4 linked regions of the Arabidopsis thaliana genome follow. Each later gene encodes a partner of the first gene's protein in a complex. Each region holds a gene or a part of one and is shown in the gene's direction. Other genes may lie near its edges. The genes, in order: AT1G12400, AT3G61420, UVH6 and GTF2H2.

Region 1 (5,484 bases):
AAGACATTAACGCAGAGACTGTGTTGTGTTGACCATTTTCTGTTGACTCATAAAGTACATTTCTTTGTAAATATTTTTTTTTGGTTTGTGTTGAAAGTTGTTTATTTTTGACTGCAACCTTTTACAACTTCCATTTTTTTACCGACACTTTTGGTTCCTACTAATTCCAACCATTTTTTTACTTTTTGTTAATCTCAATAGCAATTTTGCTTTCATTTGCTTTGTATGAATGTTCATGAATCATGTGTGTCTTGGCCGTCGTTAGAAGTTTGAAGTCATGATTCATGAATAACAACATCCTTTGTACTCTTCACAACTTCTACCTCTTTTTAGTTAAAAGTAAAAACCCAAAAAAACATGAACACACACTAAATAAAATTATGACTGAGGACCAATATTTACCTAAATAAAATTACTGGCCAATGGACACATTTAGCTAAATACCAACCAATCTGTAGCAGTCCAACAAAGTACACATGCTTTTCACTCATAGCCAAAAACTTAGAATTTTACTTTAGTATGTCGTTGATCTATGAATAATTTAATACAACCTATAAAACCATATCAATGCGAACAAACTCATACTAATGAATATTAAAAACACATTTTCTTGATCAACTATTCCAGCTAATTAACCACAACAAAGACTATTTCTTATGTGTCACACACACACATACACACACACACACATAAGTCTTTCTATATTTTACCCTTGATTTTCTACTCTTATTCCAATGCAAAAAGTGTCTTGAACTTGAACTTGTAAATCTCTCTTAGTAAAACGTATAATTAAAGTTATAAGTGGAGGTTAGTAGGAGTCAAGTTTTAATTGGTCAATATCTAATGTCATAAAATCCATGTCACAACTGTCTCCCACCTTCTAATGTAGAAGTATCATGTATGCATGCTTATATGTATGAATGATCAATGAATTCTAAAGTCTAATATACAAAATCCACCCATAACTGTATCTATATAATAAAAAGGCAGAAAATTAATTTCTTACCACATAATTTAGAGCAGTCCTATCTTAAAAAGATGGATAGTACTATCTATAAGAATGATCTTGTCTGTTACATACCAACCACCCAAAAACCATGGATTATGCCCTCTAATTTTATTTTTTGATAAACGACGTTTGCAATATAGTGATGAGAACTATTAATAACATCACTTTGTCATACGTTTTATTAACTTAAGGTGTCTACAATGTAAACAATGTAACAATATATCAAAGTAACTTCTTACGTTAATCTCCACTTAAATAAAATAATGCTGATTTTGTGAATGAAATTTGAAAATAAAATGTTTAGAATTGATATATACTTTTTTGCATGATACTTTTCATACGTGGAATGAGATTTCAAGATTGGTCCCTAAATGCATATATTAACTAAAAATAAGTAACTGTTGACAGAAAATAGGTATGTTATAAATTTGAATCTTCATTTTCCAGTTAGTGAAAACGAAGAGCCAATCCTTTCAGTTAAAAAAATACTGATATTGATTATTACTGTATCAAACGTAAATTGCTTGATTTACAATCTTGTACGAGAACTTCTTTTCCCAACCACTCCACTATATCGTGTTATACCCGAAATAAATATATATATACCATGTAAGAAATAATAATAGTTGAAATAAAAATAATGCCACCTTTTACATTGATAGCGATAGTAATTATTTGATTATTGAACTTGGATGGATTTAGTTACTAACATAGCTTCTTTATTTTACAACTTAATTGAACCACACTAGAGAGGCCAGAATCTATAATTAGTGAGGAAAATCCGACTAAGCTAAACCATATTACAATTCCAAAATGCTATCCTTCATAATCTCAATCTCTTAATCCTTGCAATTATAAGTTATGGATTCACCGTTCTTGAGAAAAGAAAGAAAGAAAAATACATGGAAAAGATGAAGCTTGTTTTTCTTCGTACTAGAAAACAGCTGGCTTTTCTCAATCACATGATTGAATGGTTTCTGGTACCATTTTTGTTTTTAATTTTTCATTTTTGATTTCCTTAAAACTATACAATAAGACAATGACCTAAAAAAAATTATACACGACTCAACAAAAATTACACGGCTCTCGTGCCCAAACCCAAACTGTTTACTATTTAATTGGGCTAAATCTATAGAGGCCCAATGGCTTATAAATCATAGATTCATAATACTGAAATATTAAACCGGCGTAAATGGTACGTACTTCGGGAAATAACGAATTCGATTTTAACCGGAAACTGAACCGGAAGCTGAGTCTCGTGCCTGCCTTCTCTAGGCTTCTTTGTTTCCGATCAGAATCTCGAGCTCAACTGTCAAAACTAGCCGACCACTAAGTCGTTGTCCTAACTTTCTCTCTGTTCCTCATCGAACATTATTGGGAGGAGAGAGAGAGAGAGAGAAGACCAAGAAACAACGAGGATAGATCCGAGGAAATTGTCGGAACCAAAAGGAGGAAGATGGGAGATATCTGGACATGGCTTATTTCCTTCTTCTTCCTCATCGCTCTTGTCGGAATCATCGTCTATCAGGTGCGATTCCCAATTTCTAGGATAAATAAACCCAAAGTTCTTAACTTTTCTATCGGAATTTGCCAATTTTTTCGCTTACGGTTATAATGATACCATATTTGTCCATTTTGATTCATTTGGAGCCTTTTTTTTGTTTCTGGGTAGTCTGTGATTTAGCTAGAATTAGGGTTTTATGTTCTTGTCACATGTTTGGAAGAAGTAAAGGTGTAATTTTTGGGAATGTTATCATCAAAGGAGTAAATTCAGGAACATATATAGTGCGTATTGGCTTCTCAAAACACTTTTATAGGTTCATAGTTAGTTCTTATGTTGGATGTTCATGTCAGGTCTGAGGATTTACCTCCTTAAGCACAGGTTGTTCTTTTATAAATGAGCTCCATTTCGGCATAATGAAGTGAACCCTTTAGTTTTGTTTGTGTAGACTCTAATGAGAGGAGTCACTGAGACTGATAAGCTAGCAAACGGAATCTTCCATGTATAAACAGCTTGGGAAGACATTTTCTAGGAAGCTAACTTCTCTTTTCTGAATTTGAATTCTTTCATTTGCAGCTTGTTTGCTTAGCGGATCTCGAGTTTGATTACATCAACCCTTACGACTCTGCGTCGAGAATAAACTCAGTGGTTTTACCGGAGTTCATTGTTCAAGGAGTTCTATGCGTATTCTACCTCCTAACAGGACACTGGTTCATGACACTCTTATGTCTCCCCTATCTATACTACAACTTCCATCTGTAAGTCCAACTAATCTCAATCTTTTGCTCCAATCAAATGTTGTGGTATTGATATCCTTTCGGTTTCTCCGTTGTTCAGTTACTCGAAGCGACAACACTTAGTAGATGTCACCGAGATCTTCAATTTGCTTAACTGGGAAAAGAAGAAACGGCTGTTCAAGCTTGCTTACATTGTCCTTAACCTCTTTCTCACTATCTTCTGGTAACGAGAAAGATATTTCGAATCCCATTATTGCTTAACCATAAGTAGATCAAGAGAGCTAAAACACTTTCTGTTTGCAACTTTTTTTCGTAGGATGATTTATTCGGCGCTGGATGATTACGAGGACTGACTAATGAAGAAGACATGGTCCATCTTCTTCGGTTTATTGACACTACGCTTAAAGATACAGCGACATGCTTGTGGACATGAAAAAAAGCAAGGAAAAGTGTTTGCTTTGTGATGTTTGTAAGATTAGTGGCAGGAAGATTTGTGTATTTATTTCTTTCTTAGAAACATGTTCAGATTAACTGTTTTTTTTATGTCTTGATCATTATTTGTACAAGCAATCAAGCTCGTAAACTACTGGTTACAGTAACAATGAAACTGAATAATTTCAAATATAAGAAGAAAAAAAGTTAATTCATGTGAACTTTGACTTTTAAAAGTGAGAAACCCTTTTGAGTGATGTAATAAACGATAACTTAAAAGATGATCCGAACCTTCTGTTTCAGTTTTGTAATTAGGTTATCTTATAAAGCTAATCCTTCTCTCCTTTACTGTGACAATAATCGTCGTTATCAAGGTGATTTCTTTCTCTGCCTCAAACATCGCTTACCCTCTTGATTGATTCCTCCAATCTTCTTCGTGTGGTTTCACAGGTGTGTGGTTGATCTCTAGACCAAATTGATCTGGTTTCATCCTATTTCTATTTGGTCTGTAATCGTTAAAGTCTTAAGATTTGGGAATCGAGTTTATGTTGTGGTGTTTAGGTAGCGAAACCCCAGTTATGTAATCGTTGCATCTAGTAATTTGGGGTCCTTGAATTGAAACAAAGGATTAATCTTTCATTCATCTATGTTCTGAGTTATCGAGGATGTTCTTGGGTCATCTTTTGATGAAAATTGAGCTCAGATTATTCGTGTTTTGTATTACAGGTTTTACTTATGGTTAATGCAATCAAAGGAGTGTTCGTCTCTTGGTACTTCTTACCGTTGTTACGATTCCTAAGCAAATCTTGATGAACACAATTGAATCATTCATTGTTTCTTTGTATCTTTTGTTTGTTTGCAGCGATATTCCGATGACACAATTCATAGTGAACATGAACAATTCGATGCCTCCGTCTCAGAAATTCATAATTCATGTACTTGATAGTACTCACTTGTTCGTGCAACCACATGTAGAGCAGATGATCCGCAGCGCCATTTCTGATTTTAGAGATCAAAACTCTTACGAGAAGCCCACTTCTTAGATCACATCACATCACACTTGCTTCTTGTTTTTCTTTCATTTGATTCAAATGAATAAAAACTTCATTGAGATCGTGAGATTGGTTGATATGGCTCATGCTTTAATAGAGTTAAAGTGAACTTTGTTGACAAATAATCTCTCTGTACCGGTTTAGTATCAGTCGGTTTTCTCTGGTTGTGTTGATTACTTTGTCACTCTTTTGTTGAATAAACACGTTTGTTTGGTTATTGTTCAATTACTTGTAGTAGATAATAAACAGATTAAAGAATTCGGAAGTTCCAAATTTCATTTTACTCATGAAGGATGAACCAAGTAAAATCAGAAACTAAGTTAACCACATACAATTTGCACATGTGAACCAATTCGGTTAAGCAAACCAATAAACCAATCTTCTTCAACAAATTACCCAATCTGTATGTAAGCTTTTCCACTTCTTCTAGTCTTAAAATAAAACAAACAAAAAATCTAGTGTTCGGCTCTAACACGCTCGACGACCATGGCGGTCTCGTTTAATACAACGCTTCACCAGCCTTCTCTGAGTCCGAGGTAATCTTCAATTTATCTAAATTTACATACTTTTGTCTCTGTTCACACATATTCACTTGCATCTGATTGCTTTGTTATGTCCTTTTTGCAGCTGTAGCATCAAGCTTTATTCTGGGTTAAAGCCTCAATCTGCAAGTTTGTTCCTTTTCCTCTTAATATGTCCGAAAGTTCATGTTTTTAATCGAATTGGTCTGCGAGATGTGAGGGAACTGATTTA
Region 2 (9,744 bases), on another chromosome or scaffold:
GCTTCAAGTTCACTCATTTCAATTGTTTCTAGCAATTGTTACATGGACTGGTTACTTACGGGGACATGAGAGTCACACTAAAGGCAGCTTAAAAGTTCACTCATTTCAATTGTTTCAAGAAGCTATTAGCAGATATGTTACAAGGAGTGGTAACTTACAGGGACATGAGAGTCACGAGCATTTCTCTTGGCGTCAGTTGCTGAGAAGACTGTGTATACAAGAACGAATGTGCCAATGATCTCAGCTCCAAGACCACTTCCCTTGGTGTAACCATGAGCCACAGTGTTAGCTCCTCCTCCTAGAGCCTGGTATTGCTTAGGCTGGAACCCTTTAACCACTCCAGCACCACAGATAGCTCCCAAGCACTGCATCACTATGTAGTACAGAGCTCTAGTAAGCGACAGCTTCCGGGCTAAGAACAGACCAAAAGTAACCGCTGGGTTGATGTGTCCACCTGAGAGTTACATATAAAAAAAATACATTCCAAGATTAGGCTAAAGGACACAATTCATATTAGAAAACTGCAAATTCCACCAAGATTGTAGCTTTCTGAGATTTCTTGAATCAGATACAAATGGAACAAGTTCAGGCTAAGAAGCTATAAATCTAAACACAATTTTCTCAAGATTATAGCTTTATCGTCTTCTTTCACAACCCAAACACTCGGAAACCTAATTACAGTAAAAAGGCGTATACTTGGAGAAGTAGAGTGACTTACCGGAGATACCAGCGGTACAGTAGACTAAGGCAAATATCATACCACCGAAAGCCCAAGCGATTCCTTGGATTCCGACGGAAGCACACATGTTCGGTGACCTTTTCACTCCCATAACAGTCAAGACAGTGATGTAGAGAAAGAGAAAAGTAGCGATGAACTCAGCGATCCCAGCTCTCCAAAAAGACCATGAAGAAAGCTCACCAGGTTCGAAAAACGGAGCTGGTGGTGGTTCCTTGTAGTCCTTGTCACTCTGAGCTGATGTTCCGATTGGTTGTCTCTCCGGGAACTTGTTAGCTCCAACTCTAACGTCTTCTTCCTTGCCTTCCATATCTTCGATCTCTGTAGAGAGAAATTGTAAAGCTCTGTTTTTTTTCTTCTTCTTCTTCTCTGAGTGTGGGATTTGAGAAAGTAGAGTGGTTAATTATATAGTTGGAAGATGTAATGCAAAGAAAGTTGAGAAATAAAAAATAAAGACGATGATGACAAATTGACAATAACATAAAATTTTGTTAATGTTATCTTCGTAGTAATCATACTTACTAAATAAATCTAATTATTGGATTGGGTCAGTGATAATTTAACCGTTTGGACTTTGGACAGAGTTTTGAATGCTCCATTCCAGCTATTTTTGTAGTTTTATCAGTAATGTTTTCTAATCAAAAATAGATCAATGTCTGTTTTTAATAATCCCTCATGATTGTCACTAATTTGGTTAGTTACTAACTGTTACGAACAAAACATGATCCTCCAGTTGAGATGATCTGGCGTTTGCCAGCCAGGATAAGAAGTTAAGAACATCTGTACCATAAGCACCATGCACATTCATTATGTACCATGACTATGACATTCTCCATAATGATTAATGAGTGTACCTACAGAGTTGGGAAATTAAGAGATAGTACCAATAATTCTGTTTTTTCTCTCTTCATGATCGTCTAAACTAACTTTTTTTATTTATGATGATTGATAATCGTTATCGAACTAGTGAATAAATTTTTTCTATCATCAAAGTTACAAAGCACTGGTTTGTGCCAAGATTACAAATTATTTGTTCCTACCACAAAACGTAAGTAGTGTACTAATTGCCAAATAGAAAAGACAATGTTAAAGAAAACAAAAACATGCTTAGTGGTTGCTATATTGTTCTGGAATGGGCCCTATGGCCCTACGCTCTTGTAGCATCCAAGGGCCATCTTGATTACCACCTAGTATTTTCCAACTCCTTATCAATCATTTTGACACTGTAATTAAGTAATTAATGATAAAAAAGGCTCATGTGAGATACTTTCTCAAACTAAAAATCCACATTTACACGATTTGAGGACCTTCAATCTTTAAATTATTATTTTTATATGTATATTTAAGCTGCAAAATAGAAACACTTAAAACCAAAATGTTGAAACATCAGCTAAAATCACTAGCCACTAAAAAAAAAGACCGACCCATTAAGCCTCATGACATGATAAAAGAATGTGTGAAGTGTGATTTTGGAATTTTTATGTTGGAGACTGATTATTTAATAGCCGTCCAATGCATCGACGATAAGATACGTGGAGTCATACCACCTAATGCCGGCGCCTTACATATCCAAAACCGACCATTTATCTTATGACATATGTACTCGATCAATTTATTAATTTTATTGTGGCTGCTATTCATGATTGCATTTGCCCCACCTAGCCACCCCCATTTGCGTCACGGCTCCATAAAAAAAAAAAATATTCATTGACCAAACACAAAAAAACAAGCGAAAATTACCAATGTCCTCCTAACATGAAATTAATAAGACAAATGTTATCGTCTGCCTATAATAAACTAAAAAAAAACAATAAAAAAAAGTTGCGACTTTTAGCTCGAGACAATAAATGGGCCATACATATACGGGCTTAAGCTAACAACACTACTATTGATCGCAGGCCCGGTTAAACAAGGCTCGTACACGTGGCTCTTGAGACTCATCAACTTCGGGTGTGAACTGTTGAACCATCTCAAGACATGAGCTATCACGGCTCGTACACGTGGTTCTAACCACCTCATTATCTCTCGAACTTAAAATTAACAAAATTCCCAAATTATTTAGCTATTTTTGTCTGATCTGCCGACGCTAGCCGTTCTCCTCCGCCAGATTCAAATATTTCCTCCGCCGTCGACACTCCTTACCTCCTCCGGCTCACAAACTTAATCCACCAATTTTACCATGCTTTAGAACCTTGGGCATATATCAATGGAGAAGCGAGTCAAATACAAGAGCTTTGTGAAGGATCCAGGAACTCTTGGATCCCTCGAATTAGTAAGAATACTTTAACTCTTTGCCACTATATGATTTCTATTTTTGTTTCCTTACTCAATGGTTTTTTTCTCAAAGGATCTTCCAATTTTTGTTCTCAGAGTGAAGTGATGCTGCTCTTTGTCCCAAATGATCCTAAATCAGATTTGAAGCTTAAAGTTCAGACTCACAACATCAAAAGTAAGTGTTTGATTATCCATATTGTTCATTCAGATTTATCATGAATAATTTCTCTAAATGATTATTGTGCCATGTTAAATTTCTCAGGTCAGAAATATACCAAAGAAGGATCAAATAAACCTCCTTGGCTCAATCTGACCAGCAAGCAGGTTGTTTTTCCTCGGCCCTTTTTGCTCAAGGCTAAAAAATATTGATAGGTGTATCACTGAAGTTTCCTCGTCTTTGATTATTACAGGGAAGGAGTCATATCTTTGAGTTTGAAAATTATCCTGACATGCATGCTTGTCGTGATTTCATCAGTAAGCTCCACGTGCCATGATTTGGTGTTATTGATTCATTTTAAGTATTTTTTCTGTGTTTCTTTCGTGGTGTTGTTGCTGTAACCAATTGTGCTATGAACAGCTAAGGCCCTTGCTAAATGTGAAGAGGAGCCTAATAAACTAGTTGTCTTGACACCTGCTGAACAACTTAGTATGGCAGAATTTGAGCTACGCTTCAAGCTTCTTCGAGAAAATAGGTGTGTAATCACTTATAAAAGTTGCTTTCTTTTTGGGTAAAAGTTTCTGATATTATGATAATGAAGTGAGTTGCAGAAATTGCATAAGCAATTTGTGGAAAGTAAAGTCCTGACGGAAGACGAATTCTGGTCTACGAGGAAGGTTGGTTCTTTGTTTGTTTCCTTGATGTTTCAGTTTTGCTCTTCTCGTAAGTCTCAATCGTAATAGTTATCAACTGTGTTCTGATCGCAGAAATTACTTGGTAAAGATTCCATTAGAAAGTCAAAACAACAGATGGGGCTCAAAAGCATGATGGTTTCAGGCATCAAACCGTCTACTGATGGCCGGGTATGGTATAATACATCCATTTGCTGATAAATTTTATATGACATTTCATCTGGTTTAACCTCTCTTCAATTTTTGATCTTTCAGACTAATAGGGTGACGTTTAACTTAACGTCTGAGATAATTTTTCAGGTTAGCTATCTGGTTCACTATCTTTCTCATTGATGTAAGGGCTATATAAGTTTCTGAATTTGAATCCAAGCGCGATCCTCCAGGGTCGGGATAAGTTTATATGGCCAATGGGGTTGAAGTTGCAATTGGTGATATATTGAGTCATAAATTCATTACTAGATGTTCGGGTTGCATCATGTGCTTGAACTTACAAATTCCAGTGGGAAACTAGAATTGAAAAGTAAAAACATTTTTAACTAAATGCTGCTTCATTCATACTACTGTCCTTTTCTCACATATGATATCTTCATAACTCTTTCAGATTTTTGCTGAGAAGCCGGCTGTTCGCCAGGCATTCATAAATTATGTTCCGAAAAAGGTAACAAAGACTTCAGCACTCTGACCATCTTTGTTTATTGGTTTAATCATCAAATACAATGATTCATAACTGCCTTTCGTAGTTATTTTTCTACGCCAGATGACAGAAAAGGACTTTTGGACAAAATATTTTAGAGCAGAATATCTTTACAGCACAAAAAATACAGCAGTAGCTGCAGCAGAAGCTGCTGAGGATGAGGAACTCGCTGTCTTTCTGAAGCCTGACGAGATATTGGCTCAGGAAGCTCGTCAAAAGGTCATTTCTTTTTTATAATTAATTATTTCCATGTCATTTGCTTAAAAGGATAATGATTGTGGTCTAACCAATAACCATTTATTTTAAATGTCATGTTTGTAGATGAGACGGGTTGATCCAACTCTTGACATGGACGCTGACGAGGGAGATGACTACACCCATCTTATGGTAAGCCAACTATCAACTCATTCTGCATCAAGGTTTATTGAAACGATAATTTCAAGTTAACAGTGTAGAAATTTCCACAGATAAAATAGGTCTCTCATCGGCTTTTTCAGTGTTGGTGTTTACATATTGTCTCACCCTAGAAGTAGTAGTAGCATGAGAAGCATTGTGCTCCATAGATGATACTAATACTGACGGTGATAAGCATCAACTTGTAACAGTGTGTCAAATGTTTTGTTTTCTAGAATTTCATCAATCCTTTTATAAGTTATTCAATCAAGAAAATTTATGTTCTCACAAATGTAAATTATGGACTGTGTAAACTATATTTGAATTATGTGATCTATTTCTTGCTTAGAAATTGAATTTCATTTAGTGCTTTATCTCCCACTCAGGTCCATTACTTTATATTAGCCTAACGCTAGTATCCAGAAAACAGTGATCTTATAACTTACATTTTGCTCTTTCTATATGTTGGTTGAAAGGTTATTCACATTTTCTGCTGGATCATATTTTATTTTGTGCTTAATTAAATTTCCTGTCACTCAGGACCACGGGATCCAGCGCGATGGCACCAATGACATTATTGAACCACAGAATGACCAGCTTAAGAGGTCACTTTTACAAGATCTTAATCGTCATGCTGCTGTTGTATTGGAAGGAAGATGCATCAGTAAACACTTTCAACTCTGATTGTTTCATCTGGTGTTTTGTGTAACAGTATAAAAAATAGCCATCAAATGACTTCCCAACAGATAGTTGATGAGGGATAAACATGTATTTTGGCCCTCTGCTTTTAGTTCTTGGTGGTAAAGTATACAATGATACTCACTTATTCTTTTATACTGGAAAGTAGATGTTCAGTCTGAAGATACGAGAATTGTTGCAGAGGCTCTCACACGGGCGAAACAAGGTTTGCTGTTTCATTATGATATGCTCTACTTATCTTTTTCTTTTTCTATGCTGATCAATGGCCAATGCTGCAATTCATATTCATCTGACCTAGGTATCCATGTCTATTACCCCTGGTAGTAAGCAAAGCTGATGGTGAAATCACCAAGGACGCTAATCAGGAGAGGTTGGAGAGAATGTCCCGTGCAACAGAAATGGAGGATCTTCAAGCACCACAAAACTTCCCATTAGCACCACTCTCTATCAAGGTCTTGGCTTTTTGTGATAAATAGGTTTACACTGTTGATGATGAAAGATGGTGCGTAAATCCTCGTACCTTCTCTTGTTTGGAATCAGGACCCTCGTGATTACTTTGAATCTCAACAAGGAAACATCCTCAGTGAACCCAGAGGAGCAAAGGCGTCAAAAAGAAATGTCCATGAAGCTTATGGATTACTAAAAGAATCCATTTTGGTGATTAGAATGACGGGATTAAGTGATCCGTTGATTAAACCTGAAGTTTCCTTTGAGGTGCTATTCTATCTCAATATAAAATGCATGCTGCCTAAAGAAACCATGGCTTATTGCTTTGTTCCCTGAGCTAAATATTGCTAAACCCTATCCAGGTTTTCAGTTCGTTGACCCGAACTATCTCAACTGCCAAAAATATTCTCGGGAAGAACCCGCAAGAGAGCTTTCTGGACAGATTACCAAAGTCCACTAAGGATGAAGTTATACATGTAAGTCTGACATCCTCCAATGTCCCAAGTAACAAGCAGCTCAATATATACTGATTACTGTAATTTGGTTAATAATGCCTATGGATATTGTTGTCCCCTCAAATGCATCAATACTTTTTCCTTTTTTCTCTCATATACAGCACTGGACATCAATACAAGAATTAGTGAGACATTTTTGGTCATCTTACCCAATAACAACGACATATCTTAGTACCAAGGTAATGTTGTTGCCACTTCACATTCTTCCAATCATAGAGTTTGCTATGTACATAGATTCTTCAGGATCAAATTGAAATTTATTTACACTGAGAGGAAATTCTTATACTAGGATGTTATATTTTATCATGCAGGTTGGTAAACTGAAGGATGCAATGTCCAATACTTATTCACTACTCGATGTAAGCTATGGAATTCTTCTTCAAATCTTTTTCTCGGAGTAATGCGTTAGAAAAGTAGTTCATTATATCTTCATACGAATGCATTTACACAAACATGAAATTTGGGTAAAATGAATAGGTGCAGAGTTGTAGTCGAAACTTACAGCATATGGTCTAGTGTTTATGGTTTCCGTAATATTATACCGAATGTAAACCAGGCAATGAAACAGTCGGTGCAGTCTGATCTCCGGCATCAAGTTTCCTTACTAGTTCGTCCAATGCAACAGGTTAGCTTCCTTCCAATTCATAGATAGTTTTATTACATCATGTCTTGGTGAAGTCTTATTTTTTCCACTCGCATTGTATCGATCCAATTTAACCAGCAAAACCAGACATTGCGTTGTAATCCAGTTTATGAATTGAAATCTGAGTGATATTAACCCGTTTTCTCCACCAGGCTCTTGATGCTGCGTTCCAACACTACGAATCGGACTTGCAGAGAAGAACCGCTAAGATTACATAGAGAACGTTTTGTACTTGGAAAGAAAGAGATTTCCTTCGACAAAAAATTAAACATTGGACTGAACATTTAGATTTTGTAGTGTAATAGATAAGATTCTTAAAGAACTTGAGTGAGAAGCATCATTAGCGGGATTTGGCCAAGAATGTTGCTTGTGCTACAAGGAACCTCTCAATACCCCAATTGTTTTTTTTTTGGGTGGCAAAACAGTTGGTTAAGAACTTGATTGAGAAGCATTAGCGGGGTTTGGTTAAGAATGTTGCTTGAGCTATGTAGTCACTGAATCGGTCATTAAACTCTCATAAACAGAAATCGATGATGCTAATACTATTGTTTAGTTAAAGGTTAGATATGTTGCTAATGAATTTGTTTAGTTTTGTAAGAGCATAGTGATAATTGAGAAATTGGATAATATATAGAGAAGACGATGGGAAGTGTATAGGGGTATTCGGGTTTAATTAACCTAGCATTTGTTTTGAGAATGTTTGTAATAAATTTGTTTACCATAAAAAAACCTTATAGAAATTAAATTAACCTAACCTAAAAAAAAATAAAAAAATGAAAAATGAGAATAAGAAAGAAAGAAAGTGAAGACAGAAAGGTTCACAGAAATAGCCATCTAGAAGAGCCTCACCGACTTCATCAGCCACCAACGAACCCTGAGATTCTATTTTCATCATCTCGAGCCATGAGCCATCGCGGCTCGTACACGTGGCAATTATAACCCACTCCATTTTCTCTCTTGTCTTTTTTTTTTTTTTGCGCGAGAAAAACTTAATTATTAAAAAGAAATCCCAAAATATTATTAAGCCCTTCTTTCTCTCTCTTATCCGCTCCTGTCTCTCTCTCTCTCTTGGTCTGTTTCTGCCGCCGCCGTCGCCGTTATCCCCCGCCAGATTCAAATCTTTCTTCCACCATCGTCACTCATTGCTTCTCCTCCGGTCGTAAGGTACGACACGCTTGTATTCTTCTTATCTATTGCTTTCTCATCGTCGTGTTTCTCCATTATATGTATCTCTCTATGCGTGTGCTACTTGTTCGATTGTATCGTTTGATCATTTGAATGTTATCTATGTCTCTCTCTCTCGCTGTTGGTATTCACTCTATTCCTCTTTTAATTTCAGTCTCCATTGTATCAATTTAAGTTTCGGCACCTCTGTCTTTTGTTTCATTTTTGGTATTTAGCACCTCTCTCTTCATTTCTGGGCTTAGGGTTTTACGAATTCATGATTGAGGTGCCTCTTCACATTCGAGAGAAACTTACTTTCCATCAAAAAGAGAAAAAGTTGAATCGATTCTGAACTTACTAATCTAGACTCTCTTAGTTTGTGTGGACCTGGTTGATGCATTTTTGATTAGATGCCAGATTCAATCTCGAGCTTTCTGAGTGTTTACCAAGTTTGATTTCAAATTTATGATCAATACATTGTTTCTTCTCTTGTACCCAGTTTAGTGTTAAGTTTCCGGAAATTGATTGAGATTGATGTCTCGATGCTCATAGACCTGAAATAATCCTCCTTCTGTGCAGTATTTGGAACCTTGAAGACTTAAAAATAACAACTTTTTATAGTGGGCGCTGTCCAATATATTGGAGAGCTTGACAGTGTAATAAGATATATACTCTACAAGCGTTATACCCGAAGACTGGGTCTATAAATCAATGTCAGAAGGTGAAATGGCCATCATTAAACCAGAGGTAAGCTCTGATACTTTAACTAATGTGGATTTTGTTGGCGTATAGCTAACTAACTCACATGTATTTCGTTTACTTATTATGGCAACAAGGACCTATGTTAGTTATCATAAAGAGTGAGGGTTAGTATTGTTAGATATTTTGCTCAAATGTACTAGCAAGGTTAGATTTTGGATACATAACAAGTTAGCAACCATTTGCGTCAATGTTTTATATTAATCGTGATTAATTAGTCTCTAGTAGTTCTTATCATATGCGTTTACATGACCTACTCGTTACATCATAGATTCTTTTCATAGTAATAGTGTTTTATTTTAAGTGTTATCTTCTTTATGTATGGAGTTTTTGAATGATTAGTTGAGCTTTTACCTTGCACCAAGACTAATTACTTTTTTTGTGGTATCAACATAGATGATGAAATCCTATATATGGCTTGAAACTGCTGATGGCTCAATCCAACAAGTGGAACAAGAGGTTGCAATGTTCTGTCCCATGATATGTCAAGAAGTAATACAGAAGGGTGTTGGGTCTTCTAAGAACTACGCAATATCTCTTCCACAGCGAGTCAATCCAGCCATGTTAAGCC
Region 3 (8,907 bases), 3.4 Mb from region 1:
TGCAAACGAATATCGAGAGAGAACTCTATTTCCATGGTTCTATGTGCCACTTGATGCTTATTATTGGCCACTATCTCATGCGGCACCCATTTCTGTGATATCTCAATCATTCTTTTTAATAATCAAACGTATTTTTGTTTGCGCAGTTTCTATTTTGAGTTTTGATGACCTTCTTTTTTGGTAACCTGATCTCTTAAACCGAACAATCACTAGTTTATATTGGTAACCACCATATCAATTTTGGCAACAAAAACAAAGCCGCTACAATAATTTTGTATGGTTAAATATGTGCATTCATTATAGTTTACTACGTTATAATGTTTCGACTAATATATGATGAAATTGGTCATCAGCTCATCGCATACAACAAGATGTTGTAACAGTTTTAGTTATGTTTCCTTAATGGAATGAAACTAATTTGAACGGAATCCGAGAGATATGAAACATAAAAAAAATGAGAGGGTTTTATACCAAATAATCTTATGTTTTATCATTAGGTAACTTTATTTTTTGTTTTTAATTAGTGGAAGTACACGTGTAATGAAAAATAACATACAATATGGTCATGAACTATATTTTTTTTGTCAAACTATTCGTTACTAAGTTATTTGATAAAAATAGCACGATTATACGCGCGATGATATATATCAAATTGTGGAAAATGTTATAAAGTAGAAAATTGGGCCGAAGCTGGATCCAATTATGATTCTCAAATAACGTGAAGGAAGGCATTTTAGTCCCCTCTATACGGCCCAACCACTCGCCACCGCTTATTGGTCCAACTTCAGGGTACTTTGGTAATAAATCAAAGCTTAGCTTTTGAAATTAATAAAGTATAGGGGTTGATTTGTTATTCTCAGTTTCTATCGGGTTAATTTGTCATTTGCATCGTTTCTAGTTTCCACTTTTGTTGGGTGATTTTCTTCTCTGGAAGGATCTGTTTTTCTCTTCTTCGTCTTCTCTCACCCGCCTACTGACTTTTTTTCAAATTTCTTCAGCAACACATACATACAGTCACAAGGTTTCCAATTTTCGATTCACGATGGAAATGGCGGAAGGGGAAGGAACTACAGAGGAGAACTACGACGTAGACATCGCGACCACCGCTTCTTCATTAGGCGGCTCCGGCGTCTTCCATATCATCAATGACATAGTCGGATTCGTCCTCTATATGCACCAGCAGATCCCTTCGTATGTTATCTCTTCCTATCTTCGTATCTCTATGCTTCGATGTATCCTTCGATCTGGTGATGATGTATCTATTTGTTTGTTCTTCAATCTCTCCGTTAATTTCTCCGATTAGTCTGTTGGTTACGAATTTATCAGAAGAAAAATAGTTTCGTGGTTATGAATTTATGGATTCTGGATGGATTAGTGATTAATTCCTGGTAGGTGAGTTATGTTCAATTCTAGGAGAAATTGAAAAGCTCTACGCAATTGTGCACACTACTTCCTTTTGGTTTTAGAATTAAGTCTGTTGTATCCACTATGAGTGTTTTACTGAAAACCAGAAACTTCAATTTGCAGCTTTGGTTTTGGCTACACAAAGCTCCTTCTACCAATATGACTGTTGTTGGTTATTTACATCTGTGCAGGGTATTACAAGACATGAGCCTTGAATTTGAAGGATTGCAAACTGAATTTATGGATTTGGTATGTTAGTCCTACAGACGCCATTTTCACTTTAAGGTCTAAGGTCTTTTTCACACTCTAAGAATCTTAGGTTGTAGGAGACGAATCTTGCAGAACCTCAAGTGAAACCACTGGTTAGAAGAAAACTGATGAGTAGAAAGAGAGAGGTGAAGAATGAGATTAAGAAACTGGAGAAACTGATGAAAACCATCTCTAGTCTCCGAAGTGCGCTGCAGTTAATGATCCGTGAAGCTCCTGGCATTCAGAAAGTTGTGTTGATTCTTGGTGGTAGTCCATTACGGCCTCAAAATGCTTATGAGTTGTTATTCACACAACGCAGAGACCATGTTCTAGGCTACGAAGGTGACTTTGCTAAATCCAAAGCTGCAGAAGCACTTTCAAAAAAGGTTTATTCTTTTTCTTACCTCTGTTTTCATGTTGCTTGTGATTTGTCTCTTTTCAATTTTATCTGCTGTGATAAGTCAAAAATGGTTGAGCCCTTCACTCTTGGCTTTACAGACTATCCGAGCACTGATCTCGACGGGTGCTGGATCAACTTCCTACCCAGGTAACTTTTGCATAAATTGCAAACTTCTTTAGCATTGTTGTGAATTATGGTGTAATGATTTTTTTCCCTTCTTCTGAGTTGCAGGTCCAATGAGGCTCTTCATATTGGTTCATGCTCCACCTACTTTGAATCTTCCACAACATTTCCTTCCTAAACGTGACTTCAGATACAACAGAAAGGTATACACTTCTCTGCTAATTCTATTTCACACATCCATGTACAACATTCCGATTTTCCGTCACCTGCAAACATCTTTTATTATTGCAGTTTGTGCCTTCAAAGTTGAGATTCAAGTGCAGAACGCAAGACAATGCAACAAATTCTCCTCCCACAAATGATCTAATATGGTACTTCTCTTATTCACAATTCTCCAGTTACACACTAAACAAGTTCTTGACCATGCCTTACTGTGTCATTGCAGGTATCAATGTCGACATGTGATAAAGGGATTAGCTTTCCATCAACCAGTTGAAGAATAAGACTTTAGAGTTTGTTTGTATCTCTCTATTGTTGTAACTAAACCCTGTTGCAAATTTTAGAAAAAAACCAGCATTGTTGAAACAATTCCAAATCTTGAGATGACATTGTACTACTACTACTGCATACTCTAATACTCTGTTGTTTTAACAAAATCAGGATTGTTCAACTATTTTATATTTTTGGACGAATTGTTAACATTTAAAAACCTAATTTTGTCGAGAAGTTTAATATACATAAAGTTAGGGGGTCAAACGCATTAAAATAAATAAATAGGGGGTCAGAATGAAAAAGAAACAAAGCTTTAAGTTTTTCTAATAAGAGTCCTCCTCTTCTGTTTGCTCTGGTTACTTCGGCAAACACAGACGCAAAATTTTCTTCTTCTTCTTCTTCTTCTTCTTCTTCTACCTTGAAGCTGCTACCGGTTCCTCTCTCAGTCGTTGATAACACATCGAAGCTTCCATTATCACCTGTAAGTTTTCTCCTGTTATCTTCTCTTCGCTTGATCTCAATTGTTCCTTCTTTCTCGTTGTTCGGGTTTATCTACTCCAACTTGAATCGCTTGTTTTGCTAAAGTGAATTCGAGTTTTTTAGGGTTTTGTTAGTTCTAATGCCAATTTCGATTTCTAGGTAGGAGGAAGAAGATGATCTTTAAAATCGAAGACGTAACTGTCTACTTCCCTTATGACAACATATATCCAGAACAATATGAATACATGGTTGAATTGAAGCGAGCCCTAGACGCTAAGGGACATTGTCTTCTCGAGATGCCTACCGGAACTGGTAAAACCATTGCTCTTCTCTCTCTAATCACCAGCTATCGACTCTCTCGTCCTGATTCTCCGATCAAGCTTGTTTACTGTACTCGTACTGTCCACGAGATGGAGAAAACGTTAGGTGAGCTTAAGCTACTACATGACTACCAAGTACGCCATCTCGGCACCCAGGCTAAGATCCTCGCCCTTGGTCTTTCCTCTCGGAAGAATCTTTGCGTTAATACTAAGGTTTTAGCAGCCGAGAATCGTGATTCTGTTGATGCGGCCTGTAGGAAACGAACTGCTAGCTGGGTTAGGGCTTTGTCCACGGAGAATCCAAATGTAGAACTCTGTGACTTCTTTGAGAACTATGAAAAGGCTGCTGAGAATGCGTTGTTGCCTCCTGGTGTTTATACTTTAGAGGTAAGATTAAAAAAGTTAAGGTTTTTCACATTTGTTGTTTGATCAAGTTTATGTTTTAGTTGGAATGCTTATTTCGAGGTTACTTGCACATTTTGCCTGATGGTATATGTGTGTTTCGATTTTTAGGATCTAAGGGCGTTTGGTAAGAATCGTGGATGGTGCCCTTACTTTCTCGCGAGGCATATGATTCAGTTCGCCAACGTTATTGTTTACAGCTACCAATACCTACTGGATCCTAAGGTTGCTGGGTTCATATCAAAGGAGTTACAAAAAGAGTCAGTTGTAGTGTTTGACGAGGCCCATAATATCGATAACGTGTGTATTGAAGCACTCAGCGTCAGTGTGAGGAGGGTTACACTTGAAGGAGCTAATCGAAATCTTAATAAGATAAGGCAAGAAATTGATAGGTACGCTAATTTTTTCCTATATAGCTGATACTCCTTAAGTTCTCTTGAACGTGCCACTCTTAATACAACAATAAACACAGTGATAGGGTCTTTTCTTTTTCAATTGAATTTCCTGATTGTTCTTGAATGCCATCTGGGTGTCTGCTCACTCCAGTTGCTAATTGTTGGTTTTCTTAAGGAAGTTTAAGTTAGTAAGAAAATAATCTGGTTTTATGAGACTGCTTTTTGTCAAAGAACTGTAAGGGGAACAAAAATTTACAAACGCTTTTGTCATCATCTTAAACACATGAAGCATAATTTTCTTGGTTCAATACAGGAAGTGACCTGGTTATTTGCTGATGCTTATTTTTAAGTTCTTATTACATTATTGAAATTGTCCAACTGGTAGGAAGGTTCAAGGCTACTGATGCAGGAAGATTGCGAGCTGAATACAACCGGCTGGTTGAGGGTTTAGCACTGAGAGGGGACTTATCTGGTAAGTATGTGTTCAGGAAGGTGATCTGTGATTTGATTGAAAGCACACAGTAAATTTTCTAATTCTATGAACTTGACGCAACAATTTTTTTTTTGCAGGAGGTGATCAATGGCTTGCAAACCCTGCACTGCCTCATGATATTCTAAAGGAGGCTGTCCCGGGGAATATTAGACGGGCTGAGCATTTTGTGCATGTTTTACGCCGATTACTTCAGTACTTGGGGGTACGGCTGGACACTGAGAATGTAGAGAAAGAAAGCCCTGTTAGCTTTGTATCGTCACTGAATTCTCAGGCTGGAATTGAGCAGAAAACACTGAAGTTCTGTTATGACCGGCTCCAGTCTCTCATGCTAACCCTTGAAATTACAGATACAGATGAGTTTTTGCCTATCCAGACAGTGTGCGACTTTGCAACTCTTGTTGGGACATATGCCCGGGGATTTTCCATCATCATCGAGCCTTATGACGAGAGAATGCCCCATATTCCAGATCCTATATTGCAGGTAAATATGGTGTTGACCTACTTTCTTTTGAGTATTGTCACTGGGATTTTAAGGGATTATGACTCACACGTAAATGCTACCGTTTGAATAATTGAGAATTGTATCTGAAACATATATCCTTTTGTATCTTAGTTGAGCTGTCATGATGCGTCTCTGGCGATCAAACCGGTGTTTGATCGTTTCCAGTCAGTCGTGATTACATCAGGCACATTGAGCCCAATTGATCTTTACCCCCGTCTTCTTAATTTCACTCCTGTTGTTAGTCGAAGCTTTAAGATGTCAATGACACGAGACTGCATCTGCCCTATGGTTCTAACTCGGGGAAGGTATGTGGTATATAAAAAGAATCCTGAACACTTAACTTATTTTTTAATTTTATATGTCTTGACATTATTGGTTGTTTTCTTTTTCAGTGATCAGCTTCCTGTTAGCACCAAATTTGACATGAGAAGTGATCCTGGTGTTGTGAGGAATTACGGAAAGCTTTTGGTAGAGATGGTATCTATTGTTCCTGATGGAGTTGTCTGCTTCTTTGTTAGTTACTCATATATGGATGGCATTATTGCTACATGGAATGAAACTGGAATTCTGAAGGTAAGGTCTTCTTCATCGCTTTACCATGCCAGTAATTTTTTCAGAGTTTTGCATGAATTGGAATTTTTATGATACCTCAAAATATTTTTAGTTGCTTCAGGCATTAATGTATATTTGTTTACTGATATTACCAATTCTCTTAATGTTTGTAGGAAATAATGCAACAGAAGCTTGTTTTCATTGAAACACAAGATGTTGTAGAAACAACATTGGCACTGGATAATTATCGCAGGGCTTGCGATTGCGGAAGAGGTGCAGTTTTCTTCTCTGTGGCCAGGTAAAATTTTTATTTTTGAATGGTAGATGGTTTGGGAATTCATTGCAATGCGTCTTTGGTTCTGCTTCTTTGTTTCTGTATTATAATACTGGAATTGTCTCTTCTCTCCTATTCTTGGTTGGTTAACAAATATTAAAGAGGTTTCACTTTTGAGAAATTTCAAAGAAAGTGATCAAATTTTGTATTTGAACTGCAGGGGGAAAGTTGCTGAAGGTATCGATTTTGATCGTCATTATGGAAGACTGGTTGTAATGTACGGAGTACCATTCCAGTATACATTAAGCAAGTAAGTTGTACTCAAATGAATGTTTATCATTTCAATTTCCGGTTTTCTGCTTTTATATTTCATCGTACTTGGGAGATGATAAGATGGAAACGGGAAAAATTTCAGGATATTACGAGCAAGATTGGAGTATTTGCACGATACATTTCAAATAAAAGAAGGCGATTTCCTAACTTTTGATGCCTTGGTATGATTCTTATTTTATGATCTTATTAGATTTTGGTGTGCAACTCTTTTACCTGTTTGTGACTGTTGTTAACTCTTTTTGGCTTTAACACAGAGGCAAGCAGCTCAATGTGTAGGGCGAGTAATCCGGTCAAAGGCTGATTATGGGATGATGATATTTGCAGACAAAAGGTACATGCCCGCCTTAAGTTTTCTCTCTCTGAGTCTGGTCATTTAGATTCTTGCTATTTTACTAAATGGGATTCTCTCTATAATCTATCTAGTATGATAATAAGTATATGCGCAAGTATCTGAGATCACCTCGAGAATAGAAGATTGTAACAGAGTTCACACTGTTCCTTAGGAATGGGAAAATATTCGTAGGACAGAAGAGAGACACAGATATATGCTTATGTTGGTTTATAATGTCACATTTCTATGGTCTAACAATACACTGCAATTGATGGTAAAACTTGCAGATACAGCCGTCATGATAAGCGGTCCAAACTACCTGGTTGGATACTTTCGCATCTGCGTGATGCACACTTGAATCTAAGCACTGATATGGCTATTCACATTGCTCGAGAGGTAAACCTATAACTCGCTGCTTTTTTATAACTCACAGTGAAACAAACAACAAGGCATAAAGAATCAACAATTTTCCTGGTTTTTGTTTTTTTTGCAGTTTCTTCGGAAAATGGCTCAACCGTATGATAAGGCGGGTACAATGGGAAGGAAAACTCTGTTGACACAAGAAGATTTGGAGAAGATGGCTGAGACTGGTGTGCAAGACATGGCTTATTAGTAAATCAGTTTGTTTGTTATTTTTTGGTTTAGGTCAATCAAAAATTGTTGTAGCAAAAATTTTCACTGTAGGTATTTTGTTCTTTTTCTTGATGATTTTCAAGAATCGAATTGAAATTTAAGGCTCGTAAAAGTTTCGTTTTGGTTTTAAATCTATTGAAATTAGCAAAATTTATGCTTAATGTTAAGATAACTAGATTATCATATTCACTCATTACATCATTTTAGATCAAGAAATACTTCGTCGGCTCCTTGTTAAATCTATCAAACATACCACTAAAAAAAAAAAATCTTAAAGAATGATTAAATAAATTTAACCAAGCAGTAGAAGTGGAATTGAAATTGGCAGAGTTAGTGCGACGACCCAATCACCTGTCTCCAATAACCGCCTCAAAAACTGTCGAAGCCCATTGGGCACTTGCAAAGCCCAACAGTTGGAGTTCCAGCTCACCCACTAGCCGTTATTACGCAGGCTAATTTTTCAACGTGCGAGAAACCAGATTTCCTTTTTCCCGAAGACTATTTAGGGAATTTCCTCTCTTGAGCCAAATTTTCCTTTTTCCCAAGGGGGGTATTTAGGTATTTTCGTCTCTCTCGGCCAAGTTTCCTTTTTCCGTTCCTCCGTAATAAAGCTTTCATTCTTTTTGTAGGTTTCCATTAGAAGTTCAGAAATACTGTTTATAAATACAAATCCAGAGTCAGAGATCCATTCGATAGCACTTTCCTCTCTTTCTCTCATCGTAAAACCGTTCTTCGTTTTTTCTATTTCTCTCGTCTCTTTCTTCTACCCAGATCACTGATCAACCGTGAATTTTACTCTACTCTTTCATCAATTTTACTGTGTTTAATTCATAAAACAAAACAAACGATCGATTTTTGTTTTTTTTTGGGGATGAAGATCAGAAGCAAAAGCAAAGGCTATCGTCAAGAGATCAAATCAACTTGCACCGACTCCAACACTCTGTTCTCAAAAGGTACTTTTCGTCTTGTTGGAATTTTTGGCCAAATAACGTCTTTTTTTTATATGGTATCTAATTACTGTATTCTGGTTGATCGCAAAACAAAGAATTCTCATGTTTAAAGTGGGTTTCGTCTAATCCAATTTGAATTTTAGGTCTTATATTATTTCCCTAGCTCTAACCCTAATCATATATTTCTCAAAGTTTTTGATTTTTATTCAAGATTCCTTCTAATCAATTATTTCTTCTTTGTATGTAGATGTGGTTGCAACTTCGGAGCTTTTTTCATCTGTGATATCGTAGCGTGTGAAAGACGGATAATTCTACAGAGACAATGCATCATCCCATTCGGTCAGGTCAATTTTCATCCCTATTTTGTTTATAATCTATAATCTTATAGATAGTTTAATTACAAAAAAGGTTTTTATACTTTTGATTTTTCAAAACAAAATATATTTCTCAAAGTTTTGATTTTTAAAAGTTTTCAACTCTTTTTTATTTTTCTTTTTTTTTATAAATACTAAATTAATATGACATTTTGAAATCTAACCGGATTTTGGATCCCGCCATTTAACCTTGGTCATTA
Region 4 (6,777 bases), 2.8 Mb from region 1:
CACTTAGAGAAAAGGGATTATGTTGGTGTGGGGAAATGAGTACGGCTGAGATGTTGGTTGGAAGAGATGCAGAGCCGTGGAGTTAACATTACTCAGGTGGTGTTCAATACTTCAATTAATGGGTACTGCAGAAAAGGGAGTATCGATGATGCATTGATAGCGTTGAGATATATCTCAAGCTGATGTGATGGAGAAGAAAGGGTTTCAAGCTGATGCTTTTACTTATAACGCGGTTTGCTAAGTAAATCAAAACGATATGGTGAGGCAAAGCACTGGTTGTTCACGATGATTGATAGAAGTGAGCGTAAAACGGTTGACCATACTAATCTGATTGATATTTACTGCAAAATAGAGAACTTCAAAGAGGCAAAGAAGCTACTTGAAGAGATGGCCATCTGAGGGAGAACAACAACCTAATGTTGTCACTTAAAATGTGATGATCAATGCGTACTGCAAGCAAGGGAAAGTAAAGGAAGCTCGGAAACTAAGGACGGACTTGGAAGACAAAAGGATGGTTCTCTTTGACGAATGGGGCTCAAAGGGTTTGGTTCAAAACGTTGTAACATACACCGCAATGATCTCATCGGGTTTGTCCAAGGCTGGAAAATCGAACGAATCATTTGGATTCTAGGAAAGGTTAAAAAAATAGTAAATAGGGTTTATACAGCACGTGTTCAAAGTCTGCATTCAGCTGGGACTACAGTCGTCACAGTGATAACTGTTTGAGCTGGTCATTCTGTTGAGGAGATATGGTTGATGGTTTATTGGAATCAGAATCGTTGGTTTGGGGCTGTGACCATTGATTTCAACTTGTCAAGAAAGTAAAGTTGGTCTCTTTTTTGCAACCTCGGGTTAAAAGTCAAAAAGAGCTTCTCTCCAATCTATCTTCCTTCTTCAACCTTGATCTCCAAGGTTGGGAAATCGTTTTTTTAATCCTATTGTCGATTAAAAATCATATCTTTTTATGGATATCTGAGACCGAAGAAGATATAATAATATGTATAAATAAGAAGCAACGAGACTAATCAACCGAAACAACAACAAAAGAAAATGAGTTTTCTTGGAGCAGGGAGACTCGCGGGAAAAGAAGCTGCCTACTTTTTCCAAGAATCCAAACACGCCGTTAATCGTCTCGCCGAGAAATCTCCGGCCACTGGCAAAAAGCTTCCATCTTCTCCGCCGGATCCACCGGAAATTCAACCTGACGTTCTTCCGGAGATTCTACGCCATTCTCTTCCTTCCAAAATATATGGTCGTCCTCCTGATCCTTCGTCTCTCTCCCAATTCTCCAAATGGGCTCTTGAATCTGACCCGAACGCAACAGTTTCTATATCCCCTGATGTCTTGAATCCTCTCAGAGGTTATGTGTCTCTGCCACAAGTCACTTTCGGCCGTAGAAGGTTCAAATTAGGGTTTTATACTCTGTTTCACTTGATGAGTATTTCAAAATTTTGGATTTGTTGTTAATTTGTGTCGATTTTTATTGCAGATGGGATTTACCGGAATCTGAGAATTCGGTTTTGGCGTCAACAGCTAATGAATTGAGGAGAGACAGATACGGCACTCCTGTAAATCCTGAGAAATTGAAAGCTGCTGGTGAAGGGCTTCAACATAGTATGATCACTTCTCTTCTTTTGTTTATCTGCAAATCAAATCTTTTTGAACGTGGATAATTGGATTTATGGATACAGTTACCTACAGAGGAACATGACTAGATTTGGGTTGTTTGCTAGAGATAGAAGGATTGCTATCTTTACGTGTTCTGTTTTCACTTCCTTGCTTTTGTTAATGTTGATCATGTAAATTGCTTGCCCAAACTTGTCTATTTTACCTTGTTAGGGACTGCAATGGCAGTAATTCTGAAAGGTTTCAGCTTACTAGAGAAAACTTTGGTTTGTTTGGTTATGAAAGCCAAGATTTTCCGTGGCTGAGGGTTCATGAGTGTCTAATGTAACAACTGCTTTCTGGTTGTCTCTTTTTGACTCTGATGACAAATAATCTAAGTATCTCTCTCACAGCCTAGAAATTGTTGATAATATTGCTTAGATTGAGATTCTGTTATTGTCTTTTGTCTTTTAATGTTAATTGATGTCGTGAAGTGTTCGGAAAGTTTGCCTAATCTCGAGCCCTCTGATTTTTCTGGTTTCTGCAGTTGGAAAAGCATTTGCAGCCGCTACTATTATCATCTTTGGTTCAGCCACTTTGGTTTTTGGAACGGCAGCCTCGAAACTTGACATGCGTAATGTAAGATTGCATATGTTTCCATTTTCTTACTTAAATCATTTAGATTAGCATTTCTAAGCATTATTGACTGATCTTGAATGCCATCATCGCCTTACTTGGTTTTATTGTATGATTTTCGTTCTGTTAGGCTGATGACATAAGAACGAAAGGCAAAGATCTTTTTCAGCCAAAACTGGAGTCGATGAAGGAACAAGTAGAGCCCTTAAGAACTTGGGTAATGTTTTACAAAGATACTTGCATCTTCTCAACTGAAGTGGATCATAATCATTAATAGACTAACCCGAAAAGACCATAAATTTCAGGCTGAAAACATGTCGAAGAAGTGGCATATTGAGAATGAAGGTGGTAATACTATCAAGGAGAAACCAATCTTGAAGGAGCTTTCGAAAATTCTGGGACCTAAATCTTAAAAGGCCAAGACCTTTGGTTAATGTGTAACCATGTGGATAGAGAAAGTCAAAGAAGAAGTTCTATATGTTTGTAAGATTCAATAAGATCTTAGGTAAATTATCATATTGTGCTGTAAGAACTAAGAAGTTTCAATGTTGCTGTATAAAGGTTGTATCGAGTGATTTAAGTTTTGTATAATAAAGTTTTTATGAGTTTCAATATCAATGTTTCCTATTGTGTAAGCAAAATAAAATGTTTCACTTCTGATTGGACATGGATTGGTGGGTTAAATATACAGAATAGGAAGTTACAGTCAAAATTGTGAACGTTATAATAAGTAAGGGTTGTTTATGTAAATTTTGGCTTCAGTAGAGTTCTCTTCTTCTTTTTGTAATTAGGTCTCTTAGACGGTGAGGTTAACGATGAGTAATCAAAGAAAGAGATCAAACGATGAAAGAGAAGAAGAGGACGACGAAGATGCGGAAGGTATCGGCGAGTGGGAGAGAGCTTATGTTGACGACCGATCCTGGGAGGAGTTGCAAGAGGATGAGTCTGGACTTTTACGGCCAATTGATAACAGTGCCATTTACCATGCTCAGTATCGCCGCCGTCTTCGTATGCTCTCCGCCGCTGCTGCTGGTACTCGTATCCAAAAGGGACTTATTCGATATCTCTACATCGTCATTGACTTCTCTCGGGTAAATATTTTTCTTTGCAATCCGCCGCTGCTGCTGCTGATTTTGTGATTTTTAGCTTCAATGCCGTTTCCTTTGAGTTTGATGGCGTGAAATTGAGCTTATGTTGCTTTCATCAGAGCTTATATAAAAGAGAAACTATGCACTTTGGGTCACTGATAAGTAACTTTAATGTAATCGTCGTTCTAGTTTTGGAGATCTCTGCTCTTTAGTCTTCTCAATAGGTTCTATAATTGGCTCTGTATTGTTTGCAATGATAATCTTACTCTAAGTGGGTTTGTAGAGCTTAAGGATGTGATCCTTATTCAGATTCTTTATTGAAGGCAACATTATGATTTGGGTTCAAATTTCTCTAGTTCCAAGGTATGCAAAGTCTTACACTTTGGACTGTTTTGTCGTGTCTAGGCAGCTGCGGAAATGGATTTCAGACCAAGCCGGATGGCTATAATGGCCAAACATGTCGAAGCTTTCATTAGAGAGTTCTTTGACCAGAATCCTCTGAGTCAAATTGGGTTGGTCTCTATAAAAAATGGAGTTGCGCATACATTAACAGATCTTGGTGGTAGTCCTGAGACTCACATCAAAGCGTTGATGGGGAAGTTGGAAGCTTTGGGTGACTCCTCTTTGCAGAACGCTCTGGAACTTGTACATGAGCATCTCAACCAGGTTCCATCTTATGGTCACCGCGAGGTTCTGATATTGTACTCAGCTTTATGCACATGTGATCCAGGCGATATCATGGAGACCATTCAAAAATGCAAGAAATCCAAATTAAGATGTTCTGTAATTGGGCTCTCTGCAGAAATGTTCATATGTAAACACCTCTGCCAGGAAACTGGCGGATTGTATTCAGTTGCAGTGGACGAGGTGAGTTTAGCTACCTTCTACTTACACTTGGACCTTTGAAAAACTTGTTTTGTATGGTATAACATTGTGCTTTGTGTGTATTTGTCTTTTCACGCAGGTGCATCTAAAGGATCTTCTGCTTGAACATGCGCCTCCACCTCCGGCAATAGCAGAATTTGCAATTGCAAATTTGATCAAGATGGGTTTCCCACAAAGAGCTGCTGAGGGTTCAATGGCGATTTGTTCGTGTCATAAGGAAGTTAAGATTGGAGCTGGTTACATGTGCCCAAGATGCAAAGCTCGGGTATGTGACCTCCCTACGGAATGCACTATCTGCGGTCTAACACTTGTTTCTTCGCCGCATTTGGCGAGATCATACCATCATCTCTTCCCGATTGCTCCATTTGATGAGGTGCCTGCACTTTCAAGTCTGAATGATAATCGGAGAAAATTGGGAAAGAGTTGTTTTGGTTGCCAACAGAGCCTAATTGGTGCAGGTAACTACTTGAACACCATTTTATAGAGTCTTAATACTGTTGGTTGAATAACCATTTGGTCACTAGACCAGTAGTTGAACTTAAGATACGGTTCACCCTTGTCATAGTATATACAAAGTAACCGATCCATTCACTCAAATATAAAGGCTCATTGGTGCTTTTGTTTTTTGCTTAGGGAATAAACCCGTCCCATGCGTAACATGTCGTAAATGCAAGCACTATTTCTGTCTGGACTGTGACATATACATCCACGAGAGCTTACACAACTGTCCTGGCTGTGAGAGCATTCACCGTCCCAAATCAGTTTCTTTGATGGAAGAATGAGAGAATGAATGTGTTCACACTTCCAATTATAAATCACAATTGAGATGATGAGAGGAAGCAATTTTTTTTGTGATATAGGATGTTGTAATTGGTCTTATGTCCTTAACCAAAATCTTTCTTCTTTTGTGGACTCTATTGCTCTCTCACAATTGATCCAAAACAAACCGACTCAAATTTTCAGAGATAGCATTCTTAATTGTTTGATTTTCTATTTAACTTGGGCTTGAAATTTCTTCACTCATGAGAAAACGAACAGTAGTAATAAAGAATTATTTCGGTGGTAAACAAAAGGAGACCGTATCATCAGTTGTTTGTTGATACTGTCATGACAAGGTCGCAACTACTTCCCTAAATATCTCTCTGTTTGTTAGAAGCTTTTATATTAGATCTAAGTGAAACAATTCTTAGTGATTGTCATAAGTAAACAACGTACTTAATCTTTGAGAAAAGTCCCTAACACCACCATGAAGGAAGAAGATACTAACGTCACTAGGTTCTGCAAGGCAACGTCTGCGTGTAAAGATGCAGCATTCTACTACCTTGAAGGATTCGACTGGAATCTCGAAGACGCCATCTCTGGTTTCCTCGGTGATCAACTTCCTCCGCTCAAAATAAGAGCGACTCCACGGAGGGTGAATGAATGGCGAGAGCGATCTCGATCTCCTTTAAGAAGAAGATACTCTACTACCTCTGTCTCGGAATTTACGCTGAAGATGCGCCAAGATGAGATAACCATAACGAAAAGCTCTGATACGGGTGCTTTGGCCACCAGGTGGGTGATTTAATAATATTAAGGGCTCGGTAATCCAAATCATCTAAAAAGAATGTTTAATCTTGTTTCTTTTGTTTTGTATAGTTTGGATGATAGTGGAAGAGAGCTTCATGATTCTGATGATATATCTCATGGAGAAAAAATTGTGTCTATAGCTAATCCGGTGAATCAAGAGTTTAAAGAAGAGGTAAATTCTATTCTTGCATGCTACTCCATTACCAGTACTGTCTTTTGCTTATTATACCTATAATCACATCTCTTTCCTTTAAATGATGTGTATTGTATCACCTTAGGGATCATCAGTTCAAGCTACGAAGATTTGTGAATCCACCTCCATTGAGATTCACTTGCCTAGACCGGATCCTTATTCGGACTCTGACTAAGCTGATTGGACTTTTTTCTTGAGATGGAAGCAGATTGATGTATAAATCCTTTATTGGTACTTCTTTATCCAATCTTGCTCACCTACTCAACATATCATTAAACCTTGATCTTACACAAACTTTTTTTTTTAGGTAAACCTTGCACAAACTTCATATACACACAACTTAAATTCTTCTTGAATACGATTCAGAAAAGTCTGGTGTTTGATTATGAGGATCATATCTAGACTGTAGAAATATCTTAGTTGTATTTATTATGAGGACCAGTGACCTCTAAGTCCAGGTCCAATATGGTATTGGTCCATACTTTGTCCTCAGTAATTGATTGATCTTGTCTGAAGTTCAAATTGCCACAAAGTTTAGAGTCAAGCAATTTGACGTTGTCTATTATGAGTCTTATCATCGTTATAAGTGGTTTGGCTGCAGAACCAAATCATATGTACCAAATTTCTCCTTCGGTCTCTTCTTTTCTTTCAAGTCTTTATTGGTAAAACCGCTTTTGCCTGTTTTCTCCATCTCCTGTTTCTTGTGTTGTGTCTTTCTATCCAGCTTCTCTGTTATCAGTCTTTTTTCTTTGCCACTTCCTCGTCCCGACCAAATTGAGATCCTTTTTGGCTTTTAAAAAT

The links.
Region 2: AT1G12400 (region 1) and AT3G61420 share a complex: the UniProt entries of both Arabidopsis thaliana proteins name them as parts of the 7-subunit TFIIH core complex.
Region 3: AT1G12400 (region 1) and UVH6 share a complex: the UniProt entries of both Arabidopsis thaliana proteins name them as parts of the 7-subunit TFIIH core complex.
Region 4: AT1G12400 (region 1) and GTF2H2 share a complex: the UniProt entries of both Arabidopsis thaliana proteins name them as parts of the 7-subunit TFIIH core complex.

The regions. Positions count from the first base shown.
Region 1 is NC_003070.9:4,217,882-4,223,365, forward strand, and holds AT1G12400 (Nucleotide excision repair, TFIIH, subunit TTDA), read left to right. Parts: upstream 1-3,945; 5' UTR 3,946-4,129; intron 4,130-4,405; 5' UTR 4,406-4,414; coding exon of another isoform or gene 4,415-4,449; 5' UTR 4,450-4,488; coding exon 4,489-4,722; 3' UTR 4,723-4,984; downstream 4,985-5,484. Other genes in the region: AT1G12390 (Cornichon family protein), read left to right, coding at 2,466-2,537, 3,087-3,268, 3,348-3,470, 3,564-3,600; CLP2 (CLP protease proteolytic subunit 2), read left to right, coding at 5,218-5,267, 5,359-5,402. UniProt on the Arabidopsis thaliana protein: Component of the general transcription and DNA repair factor IIH (TFIIH) core complex, which is involved in general and transcription-coupled nucleotide excision repair (NER) of damaged DNA and, when complexed to CAK, in RNA transcription by RNA polymerase II.
Region 2 is NC_003074.8:22,724,959-22,734,702, reverse strand, and holds AT3G61420 (BSD domain (BTF2-like transcription factors, Synapse-associated proteins and DOS2-like proteins)), read left to right. Parts: upstream 1-2,550; 5' UTR 2,551-2,942; coding exon 2,943-3,008; intron 3,009-3,083; exon of another isoform or gene 3,084-3,106; coding exon 3,107-3,185; intron 3,186-3,272; coding exon 3,273-3,334; intron 3,335-3,420; coding exon 3,421-3,484; intron 3,485-3,587; coding exon 3,588-3,702; intron 3,703-3,768; coding exon 3,769-3,844; intron 3,845-3,934; coding exon 3,935-4,030; intron 4,031-4,114; coding exon 4,115-4,159; intron 4,160-4,460; coding exon 4,461-4,517; intron 4,518-4,616; coding exon 4,617-4,772; intron 4,773-4,874; coding exon 4,875-4,940; intron 4,941-5,486; coding exon 5,487-5,610; intron 5,611-5,793; coding exon 5,794-5,850; intron 5,851-5,969; coding exon 5,970-6,097; intron 6,098-6,185; coding exon 6,186-6,359; intron 6,360-6,454; coding exon 6,455-6,568; intron 6,569-6,708; coding exon 6,709-6,786; intron 6,787-6,918; coding exon 6,919-6,966; intron 6,967-7,163; coding exon 7,164-7,232; and 4 more. Other genes in the region: PIP1A (plasma membrane intrinsic protein 1A), read right to left, coding at 159-454, 719-1,046; SK21 (SKP1-like 21), read left to right, coding at 9,126-9,161, 9,570-9,744. UniProt on the Arabidopsis thaliana protein: Component of the general transcription and DNA repair factor IIH (TFIIH) core complex, which is involved in general and transcription-coupled nucleotide excision repair (NER) of damaged DNA and, when complexed to CAK, in RNA transcription by RNA polymerase II.
Region 3 is NC_003070.9:772,501-781,407, forward strand, and holds UVH6 (RAD3-like DNA-binding helicase protein), read left to right. Parts: upstream 1-3,026; 5' UTR 3,027-3,149; exon of another isoform or gene 3,150-3,307; 5' UTR 3,308-3,321; coding exon 3,322-3,855; intron 3,856-3,981; coding exon 3,982-4,262; intron 4,263-4,654; coding exon 4,655-4,737; intron 4,738-4,835; coding exon 4,836-5,239; intron 5,240-5,371; coding exon 5,372-5,565; intron 5,566-5,652; coding exon 5,653-5,833; intron 5,834-5,985; coding exon 5,986-6,110; intron 6,111-6,306; coding exon 6,307-6,396; intron 6,397-6,501; coding exon 6,502-6,580; intron 6,581-6,673; coding exon 6,674-6,750; intron 6,751-7,037; coding exon 7,038-7,146; intron 7,147-7,243; coding exon 7,244-7,363; 3' UTR 7,364-7,544; downstream 7,545-8,907. Other genes in the region: AT1G03180 (non-structural protein), read left to right, coding at 1,043-1,191, 1,596-1,653, 1,731-2,039, 2,152-2,200, 2,285-2,379, 2,468-2,547, 2,622-2,679; AT1G03200 (uncharacterized protein), read left to right, coding at 8,255-8,336, 8,581-8,624. UniProt on the Arabidopsis thaliana protein: ATP-dependent 5'-3' DNA helicase, component of the general transcription and DNA repair factor IIH (TFIIH) core complex, which is involved in general and transcription-coupled nucleotide excision repair (NER) of damaged DNA and, when complexed to CDK-activating kinase (CAK), involved in transcription by RNA polymerase II.
Region 4 is NC_003070.9:1,447,132-1,453,908, reverse strand, and holds GTF2H2 (general transcription factor II H2), read left to right. Parts: upstream 1-3,007; 5' UTR 3,008-3,056; coding exon 3,057-3,332; intron 3,333-3,734; coding exon 3,735-4,196; intron 4,197-4,293; coding exon 4,294-4,672; intron 4,673-4,847; coding exon 4,848-4,996; 3' UTR 4,997-5,278; downstream 5,279-6,777. Other genes in the region: AT1G05060 (coiled-coil protein), read left to right, coding at 1,051-1,400, 1,490-1,614, 2,153-2,244, 2,372-2,458, 2,547-2,654; AT1G05040 (UBA-like domain protein), read left to right, coding at 5,461-5,768, 5,853-5,955, 6,062-6,151. UniProt on the Arabidopsis thaliana protein: Component of the general transcription and DNA repair factor IIH (TFIIH) core complex, which is involved in general and transcription-coupled nucleotide excision repair (NER) of damaged DNA and, when complexed to CAK, in RNA transcription by RNA polymerase II.